2 linked regions of the Coturnix japonica genome follow. The protein of the gene in region 1 binds, or shares a complex with, the protein of each later gene. Links are inferred from orthologs where the notes say so. Each region holds a gene or a part of one and is shown in the gene's direction. Other genes may lie near its edges.

Evidence for each region.
Region 2: LRP5 (region 1) and FZD8 share a complex: the UniProt entries of both Homo sapiens proteins name them as parts of the wnt-signaling complex. The link is inferred for Coturnix japonica from reciprocal best matches to the Homo sapiens genes LRP5 and FZD8.

The regions. Positions count from the first base shown.
Region 1 is NC_029520.1:8,359,120-8,363,534, reverse strand, and holds the start of LRP5 (low-density lipoprotein receptor-related protein 5), read left to right. Parts: upstream 1-1,441; 5' UTR 1,442-1,538; coding exon 1,539-1,626; intron 1,627-4,415. UniProt on the Homo sapiens protein: Acts as a coreceptor with members of the frizzled family of seven-transmembrane spanning receptors to transduce signal by Wnt proteins.
Region 2 is NC_029517.1:11,565,368-11,569,676, forward strand, and holds the start of FZD8 (frizzled-8), read left to right. Parts: upstream 1-1,430; 5' UTR 1,431-1,433; coding exon 1,434-3,965; 3' UTR 3,966-4,309. UniProt on the Homo sapiens protein: Receptor for Wnt proteins. Component of the Wnt-Fzd-LRP5-LRP6 complex that triggers beta-catenin signaling through inducing aggregation of receptor-ligand complexes into ribosome-sized signalosomes.

The DNA.
Region 1 (4,415 bases):
CTGTGCCTGCAAATAGTCCTTCATCACAGCAAAGGTTGGTGTGGGGCTCTGAGCAGTCACTGGTGGATCTTCTCAGTCTCAGTAACTCTCCTTACAGCAGGTACTTCCCTTTGAAAAATGCTGGTCTCTGTTGAAATCTCTCAGTCAGAACCATCTTTATCTCTTTGTACAAAGTTTTGCCATTAGTGTTTCACAGCGGCTCTGATCTGGGCTCTGGTTTATTGTGGAACTTCTATCAAGGAAGACCAGCTGCTGGTTTTCCCATCTTAAAGAACGCTGAGGTTTAAAATGCCTCCTGGAATCGGACATCTTTAAAGTAAGCATTCTTTATGTGTTTAACAAGCAGGAAGGTAGAGCAGGAAGCTTTATTTTCCTTTGTGGGTTAGTGTGAAGGTCAGTGCTATAGACCTTCTGTAACTCCTCAACACTATCCCAACATTAAACCCTTCTTAAGAAAGGGGGAAACCTGCACCTGGTGACCATCAGGTCCCAAAAGAATTCCTGAGCTTTTAGTCCCACTGTTGGAGATGGGTAGTGGTCCATTGGGCACTGAGAAGAAATCTGAACCATGGCTGCAGAACCTACAGCAAGGCAGATCTATTAGGACACATCCATTGTCTGAAAGGAAAAGCAACTTTTAAATATCTATTGGTTAAGCATGTGATTTATGAGGGAATGCCTTGATGATGCTGTCTGTGTATAGACTGTAGTATTTCTATTTCCTATGGTAAATTTGGTGTTGGCACAAGGGAAAATGGAGACTCCAAGGGAAATTCTTGACTCCGTCCCTGCTGTTGAGGTGTTTGTGGTAGCTGGGAATGAGGGAGATGTGGGATGTCTGGGTTGCAGGTGGCACAGCTCAGCCCCTGCCATGTGTCACAGAGCAGCTTCTGCCCATTTCTCACCGCTCATGTACTTGTATCAACAGGCTGCGTGTTTGATGGGGGGAAAAGCAACTGAACTGCTGCTGGAAAGTGACTTTGTTCGTGATGCGAACACAGAGCACTGTGAGGAGATGCTCGTATTGCTGGGAAGAGGAAGGTGAAGGAAAACCCCCACCTGGGAACAAAACAGCTGCGTAAAGGAGCAGGTAAGCGCACACTCAGCGCAGATGCACAAGTAGTTTCTTTGTAAACACACAGTGAGCACTTTTGTCCGCCCCTTCTCGTGCCCCTCGCGTTCTGGGGGGAGCCGGGAAAGAAGCAAAACAAACCCAAACGCTTCGGCAAGAGACCAGGAGCTCGAGGATCCCCGGCCCGAGCCCGATCCGCCGCTCCCCGCCAGGTGCACGGCGCGGGCCTGTGCGGACGCACGGCTCCTCCCCGGGCCGCCTCGCGAGCGGGAGGATCCCAGCCCCCTTCGGGGAGGCAGGAGCGAGGGGGGAGCGGGCGGAGGAGGAGGAGGAGGAGGAGGAGGAGGGCCGGGAGCGGCGCCTCCCCCTTCCCGCCTCCCTCCCCGCCGAGCGCAGCGCCCCGAGCATGGAACCTGCCTGAGACGCTCGGCGGGCTCCGCTCCGGCAGCTGCTGCTGCGGCACAACATGGAGGCGGCGCCGCCGCTCCCGCTGCTGCTGCTGCTGCGGCTCCTGGCCGCTTCGGTGCTGCGCTGCGAGCCGGGCTCGGCCGGGGGTGAGTGCTGCGGGAACGGGAAGGGGGGGCGGGGAGGGGGGGGAACGGCGGAGGGAGCTGCTGCCCCTTTTGTTGGCGGAGTTTGGAGAAACTTCCCCTGAACTCCGCCGGGGCGAGACGCGCACATGGACGGGACGGGACGGGCGGAGCGGGGCTCCCCGGGAGCGGCTGCGGGAGGGCGGGGAGCCGGCGTGTGTGCCCGCAACTGCCCGGCCCGGGGCGCGGAGGGCTCCGCCGCACGCAGAGGCCTCCCCGTCCCCTCCTCGCGGGGACCGGGCTGCACGGGGGGACTCTCGGTGGCCGCGTCCGGTCGCGAAAGAGAGACAAAAGTCGTGTGCGCGTTCCCACCCCCCCCTCCCCCGCGCCGCGCTTCCGCGGTCCCGGATTTGTGCGGGGTTTGGAGGAGCTGGTGTCGGGTGTCGCTCACGGGCGGAATCCGAGGCTCGGCGGGGCTGCCGAGGGGGGTGGGGGAACGAGGCCCCCCCTCGGCCCCCCCTGCGCGGCCGGGCTCCGTCTTAGGGCCGTGGGCGGCGGGCGGGCGCTGGGCTCCGCACGTGCGGGGCTCCTGCTGCGCGCTGTGCCGCGCTGCGCTGCGATGCTTCCCGGCCGGCTGCGAAAAGTCGGTGGTGCGGCCGAGTAGGGCAGGAGGGCACCACGGGGCCTCCTTTATTGGGCCACCCACCTTAACGAAGCGGCTGCAGTTATTAACGCTGTCATTGGGAACGGGAGCGCTGGCTGCTGGCATCGCCGCTCTCTATTTTTAGTTGGAAGTTCGTGTAGGTGTGTGTGAAGTTTTGCTCGTTCTGTCCTGTTTCCGTGAGGAAGGTGTGCATCTCGGAGTGCCCCTTCTCCTAACGCTGACCTCCGTCTTGCCAAATAGTTTCAGAAAAGCCAAAGTGAGACTCGTTCCATTCTGAGCACTCGTGTCGGTGTGAAGATGTTCGGACTTGAGTGAGTTAAGCTATGCAGCTTCAAGAAGTGAACTCACAGCTGTTTTATATGGAGCATGAGGAGCTCATAGTGTTCCTCGTGGCTGCTACACGTTTACTTGCTGGTCTTACAAACGCCTTTGAAATATTTAGTGGCCTTTGACTGGGTACAAGGATGAAAGTTTTTACAATAAGGGTGGTTGCCCAGGGAGGTGGTGGATGCTCAATGCCTGGGGACACCCAAGGTCGGGCAGGACGGGCTCTGAGCACCTGATCTAGTGTAGGTGTCCCTGCTCATTGCCACAGAGTTGGCCTTTGAGAGTCCCTTCCAACTCATGCAATTCTCTGGTTCTTATTTATTAAGGAGAGAACTTTTAATAGTCTTAGGGTAAAAGCATAATGCAGTTCACGGTGATGTTAAGTTGTAACTTGGAGGATGAATTTGTTTCATCTCATTGTAGAGGCAGCGCTTTTGTTATCGTGGCACTGAGTTGCTGCCTTCCAGACCTGTTGATGAAGCTGTGAGCCCCAGGGATGAGCGTGCTCTGTGCACGTGGGGCAGAGCAGCTGTGTGTGCTGAGGAGGAACCTGCTTCCAGCTCCCCGGCCCTGTGAGCAGACGCCTGACTTTAAGGGGCTTTTACCTCTCAGAAGTATTTTGATGTGCTTATCTCACAAGTACGTAAATAGATCAGCAGGATTGGGAATGTGCTGGAACTTCTCTGGTGTTGAAGCTTCAGCTTGGTAGAGTGGATTTGGAATGCTATGGCCATGAAATAACTTCACTGTGGAGCAGTGTCCTTGCTCTGTATGTGGTCGTGGCAGGAGTTGGTTTTATTAACGTGGCTTGGAATAATGATAAACCTCTGTGAGATGTGTGTTGCACTGACCTGGAGGTGAGGCAGGGCAATTGCTGCACTTGCTGCTTCTGTGGAGGGAGGGCTCTCTGCCTCTGAGAGTTACTCAGGAACTATGGCAAGGGTGTATTTTTCTCTGAAAATATTGAAGTGCTTAATGCTGTATAGCAGATGTTTTATGTCTGGCTCTTAAAAAGTAGAAGCGTTTGAAATAACTCTCGTTAAAACGTTACCTTCAGCAAGAATTGCTCTTAAATTCACCGGAGCTGGGTTAGCTGCTGCCTGTGGTGTGCTGTACTGGGAGATGGTGATTTGCTTTAATGGGATGATGATTTGTCCGATACCAAGACGTGCAGAATAAAGACATCTGAACAGAGGAGTGTGCTGGATCATGACAGAAGCTTGGAGCTTGGGATGCACTGTGAAATAAAAAATGCACTTGAGCACAGCCCTTACAATGGCTTTTAATTCATACTGTTTTTCTTGAGATAATCTAAAACTGATGAAACTTCTCACTGTGCCTAAGTGTGGAATGTAGCAAGATGGAACACGTGTTTAATTTGGTGACGAGGGAATGTGCTGTGTGGGAGTCCCTATGACTTCAGTGCCGCTTCAGTCAGTCCTTCATTGGCTCAGGGAGCTCTTCTGGTAACCACTGCCAGCACAGCACGAGTCATGGGCACAGGTCCTCTGGGCTAGAGAGACAACACCGGAGCTTCAGGCTTACCATGAAGTTTAAGCTCATATTTTCCAAGTGCTGGCTGTTCTGTCTCCAGACGAAGGCTTTCAGTCTCATTCAGGTGTGGTCTCTGAACTCATTTGCTAAGTCTGAGCACTTTAAATGTACTCTCAGGGTAGATGTTTACATAATGAATGCATCAGTCAGACACATAAGGTCAATACTTCAGAAGAGCGTGAATGTATTTCAGCAGTAGCCCAGTGTGAATTCCATCATTGCCTTTTGCTATTTTAAAAGTTGTGGGTTTTTTTGTGCTTTTGGGTTG
Region 2 (4,309 bases), on another chromosome or scaffold:
CACGGCTCCGTTCTGCAGAGCTCTTTAACAGAAGCAGGGCTCAGAACTCCGTCACGTCCCAAGTTAGAGGACGGGTTTTCCATTCGCTGGGCGCTGTTCTGTCTCCCAGCACCTTACAGACCGTTCTAACTGAGAGCTCAAAGAACTGTGCGCTGCTCGGGGAGTTCTGACTATAATTTCATAGCCTGGAACTGCCCAACACAGCAGCGCTGCCACGTCCTCAGCAGTTCCGTGGCACGTCCGAGAGCGATCGCTCCCCTCAGGTGGGCTGGGGGGGGGGGCGAAGAGAACAGTTCTGCAAATGACCGCAATGATTACACAGTGAACGCGTTTATCGCTTCGTTATTGCCCATTTCCTCCTCGCTGGGAGATCTACGCGTCTATTTACATGGGGAGGAGAAAGGGGCGGCGGAGGATCCTGTCGGCAGGGGCAGCAAACTTCAGGCAGCGCTTTCCTTCCTTATTTCCTTCCCTCCCTCCCGGCTCCTCCGGCCCCAGCGCGGCTCGTTCCCGCTCTCGCACTCATTAGGGCCGCAGCGGGAGCTCCATGCGAGCGCGAAGAGCAACAGCGCCGCAATTAACAAACAAACGCCCCGGTCTGGAAGAACGGCAACCCCCCGGGACGGCCCCGCCGCGCACCGGCCCTTAAGGTGGTCCGGAGTGTCTCGAAGCGACGGAGCAGGGAGTGGGGAGGGGGAGGTGGCGGGGGGAGAAGGGAAAGGAGACGGAGACGTCCCTCGGGGCCGCTCTCAGCCCGGGCACAGCGGGAGGGGAGCAGCTGTTGGCCCCGTGCGATGCTCACCCGTGTGAGCTCCAGCGGCCGGGAGGGGCTGCCCGAACCGTGCGGGAGCGCTGCGGCATCCGGAGGGCGGACACCCCGCTGCCGCTCACCTGGTGGGACGCCACTGTGAGCGCGTGTGTTATTACTTTGGGAACGGATCCGGAGCACGCGGCTCGGTGGCGTGGCAGGGAAAGGGTGGCAACGCGGTTATGTTTGAAACTCCGCGTTTCTGCCGCCCCCGTGTCACTGCCGTGTACTTCTCCCTCTCACCCCCGCAGCAGCAACGCTGCTCTCCAGCAAAGCCACGCACAGAGAAGTCGTGGGCGCTGAGTCCGGCCTCAGGCACGTGCAAAGGCGAGGAGGGCTGAGAGCGGCCGTCGCATCACAGCCCCGAGCTGCCGATCCCCGGCTCCACCGGGATCACACGCAGCAGAAGCAGCTCACGGCCAAGAACCGCGCTTTGCCACTCGGAGCAAACACCCGCAAAAAGCACAACCTTCCCAAGGGCCGAGCAGGGCACGCAGCACCGGCACCCACCGGCCGCTCCACCTTAAGGCGGGCCGGGGTCGGCTCCGCTCTCACCGCCCAGACCGGAGCGATTGGCAGCCGGGGCGATGAGGGCGGGGCCCGGAGGCGCTCGCTATAAATATTCATGAGAGCGCGGCGGCCGGACTGGCGCTGCCGGGGCCGAGGAACGAGAAGTTGCGCGGAGGCACAGCCGCACTCAACCCCGCGGCTCAGGTGGCGCGATCGCGGCCGGTGTGTCCGCGGCTGGAACCGGAGCGGAGCGAACCGGGACCCGGCCCGGCTGCCGGCGGAGCGCGGCGTGAGTGCGGCCGGCGGGACGAGCCGCTCCGGCCGTCGCTGCACCGGCTCTACCGCTGCCCGGGAGCGCGGCGTCGCGGGACTCAGCGCCTGGTCCCGGGGCCGCCTCGGCCATATTGACCGCGCCGGGCGGGGACCGGGAGCGAAACTTGGCGGCCGCGAGAAGCTTCGTGCTGTCCGGAGACATGCGAGGCCGGCTGAGCGGCCTCCCCTGAGCGGAGCCCACCTCCCCCCCCCTCCCCCTTCCGCCGGGCACAGCGCCCGCGGGGCCGCCCCCTCACCTGCCGGGGCAGCGGAGCGGGACGGGAGGAGGGGAGGCGGCCGGGCCCGCCGCCGCCCGCAGCGCAGCATGGAGTGGAGCTACCTGTTGGCCGTCACCCCGCTGCTCGCCGCCGTGGCCCTGCTGCAACGCGCCAGCTGTGCCGCCGCCTCGGCCGCCGCCTCGTCGTCGTCGTCTTCGTCGTCGGCTAAAGAGCTGTCGTGCCAGGAGATCACCGTGCCGCTCTGCAAGGGCATCGGCTACAACCACACCTACATGCCCAACCAGTTCAACCACGACACGCAGGACGAGGCCGGGCTGGAGGTGCACCAGTTCTGGCCTCTGGTGGAGATCCAGTGCTCCAGCGACCTGCGCTTCTTCCTGTGCAGCATGTACACCCCCATCTGCCTGGAGGACTACAAGAAGCCGCTGCCTCCCTGCCGCAGCGTCTGCGAGCGGGCCAAGGCGGGCTGCGCGCCGCTCATGCGCCAGTACGGCTTCGCCTGGCCCGACAGGATGCGCTGCGACCGGCTGCCGGAGCAGGGCAGCCCCGACACGCTGTGCATGGACTACAACCGCACCGACCTCACCACGGCAGCGCCGCCGCCCGCCAAGCCCCCCCTCCGCGGCTCCCGGCCCGGCGGCCCCGCCAGGGCGCCCCCTCCCGCCGCCGCCGCTCCCCCGGCCGAGGCTCCGCGGCCGCCGCCGCCCTGCGAGCCGGGCTGCCAGTGCCGGGCGCCCATGGTGTCGGTGTCCAGCGAGAGGCACCCGCTGTACAACCGAGTGAAGACGGGGCAGATCGCCAACTGCGCGCTGCCGTGCCACAACCCCTACTTCAGCCCCGACGAGCGCGCCTTCACCGCCTTCTGGATCGGCCTGTGGTCCGTGCTCTGCTTCCTCTCCACCTTCTCCACCGTTTCCACCTTCCTCATCGACATGGAGCGCTTCAGCTACCCCGAGCGGCCCATCATCTTCCTGTCGGGCTGCTACCTCTTCGTGTCGGTGGGCTACATTGTGCGGCTGGTTGCCGGCCACGAGAAGGTGGCTTGCAGCGGCGGAGCGGGGGCGGGCGGTGCGGGGCCCGGAGCGGCGGGGGCGGGCGGCGGAGCGGCGGCGGCGGGGGCGGCTGCGGGGGGACGCGGGGCGGCGGGCGGCGCGGCCGAGCTGCAGCCCGAGCTGGCGGTGGCCGAACACGTGCGGTACGAGAGCACGGGGCCGGCGCTGTGCACCGTGGTCTTCCTGCTCGTCTACTTCTTCGGCATGGCCAGCTCCATCTGGTGGGTCATCCTGTCCCTCACCTGGTTCCTGGCCGCTGGCATGAAGTGGGGCAACGAGGCCATCGCAGGCTACGCACAGTACTTCCACCTGGCTGCCTGGCTGCTCCCCAGCGTCAAGTCCATCACCGTGCTAGCGCTCAGCTCTGTGGATGGGGACCCAGTGGCTGGGGTTTGCTACGTGGGCAACCAGAGCCTGGAGAATCTGCGGGGCTTCGTGCTGGCGCCGCTGGTCGTCTACCTCTTCATCGGCACCCTCTTCCTGCTGGCTGGCTTCGTCTCGCTGTTCCGCATCCGCAGTGTGATCAAACAGCAGGGCGGCCCCACCAAGACCCACAAGCTGGAGAAGCTGATGATACGCCTTGGTCTCTTCACCGTGCTTTACACCGTCCCGGCCGCCAGCGTGGTCGCCTGTCTCTTTTACGAGCAGCACAACCGGCCCCGCTGGGAGGCCACGCACAACTGCCCCTGTCTGCGCGACCAACAGCCCGACCAGGCCCGCCGCCCTGACTACGCCGTCTTCATGCTCAAGTACTTCATGTGCCTCGTGGTGGGCATCACCTCGGGCTTCTGGATCTGGTCTGGCAAAACTCTCGAGTCCTGGAGGGCCCTCTGCACCCGCTGCTGCTGGGCCAGCAAAGGTGCCGCTGTGGCCGGGGGTGCGGGAGCAGGAGCGGGTGGGCAGGCCGCCATCGCTGCTGCTGGAGGACTTGGAGCTGGTGGAGGTGGCTCCTTGTACAGCGATGTCAGCACCGGCCTGACGTGGAGGTCTGGCACTGCCAGCTCTGTCTCCTACCCCAAGCAGATGCCTCTGTCTCAAGTGTGAGGAGGGGGAAAAGAGGCCATAGGTTAGGGAATGAGGGACACTGGCCTGCCTGAAATGCCCCCTCACTGTTTGGTGCCATTAATGAACCACTAATGGTCCTTATTAGCCACAGCTTGTATAGAACAATGCAGCTGGCAGAGGCCCCAGGCTCCAGCCCCCTCCTCCTTCCCCTCCATTCATATGCAGGGAGCATGTACTTCAAGGAGCCAGCATGTTATTTTGCTGGCGGAGGAGGGCAGGGGCTCACCCGTGTCTTGCAGAGGGCAAGGCAGAGCGGCTCCTGATTTACTCTGGACTTAACAGCAGCTCGTGGGAGGGAGGGTCTTCCTCCCCCATCCCAAAGC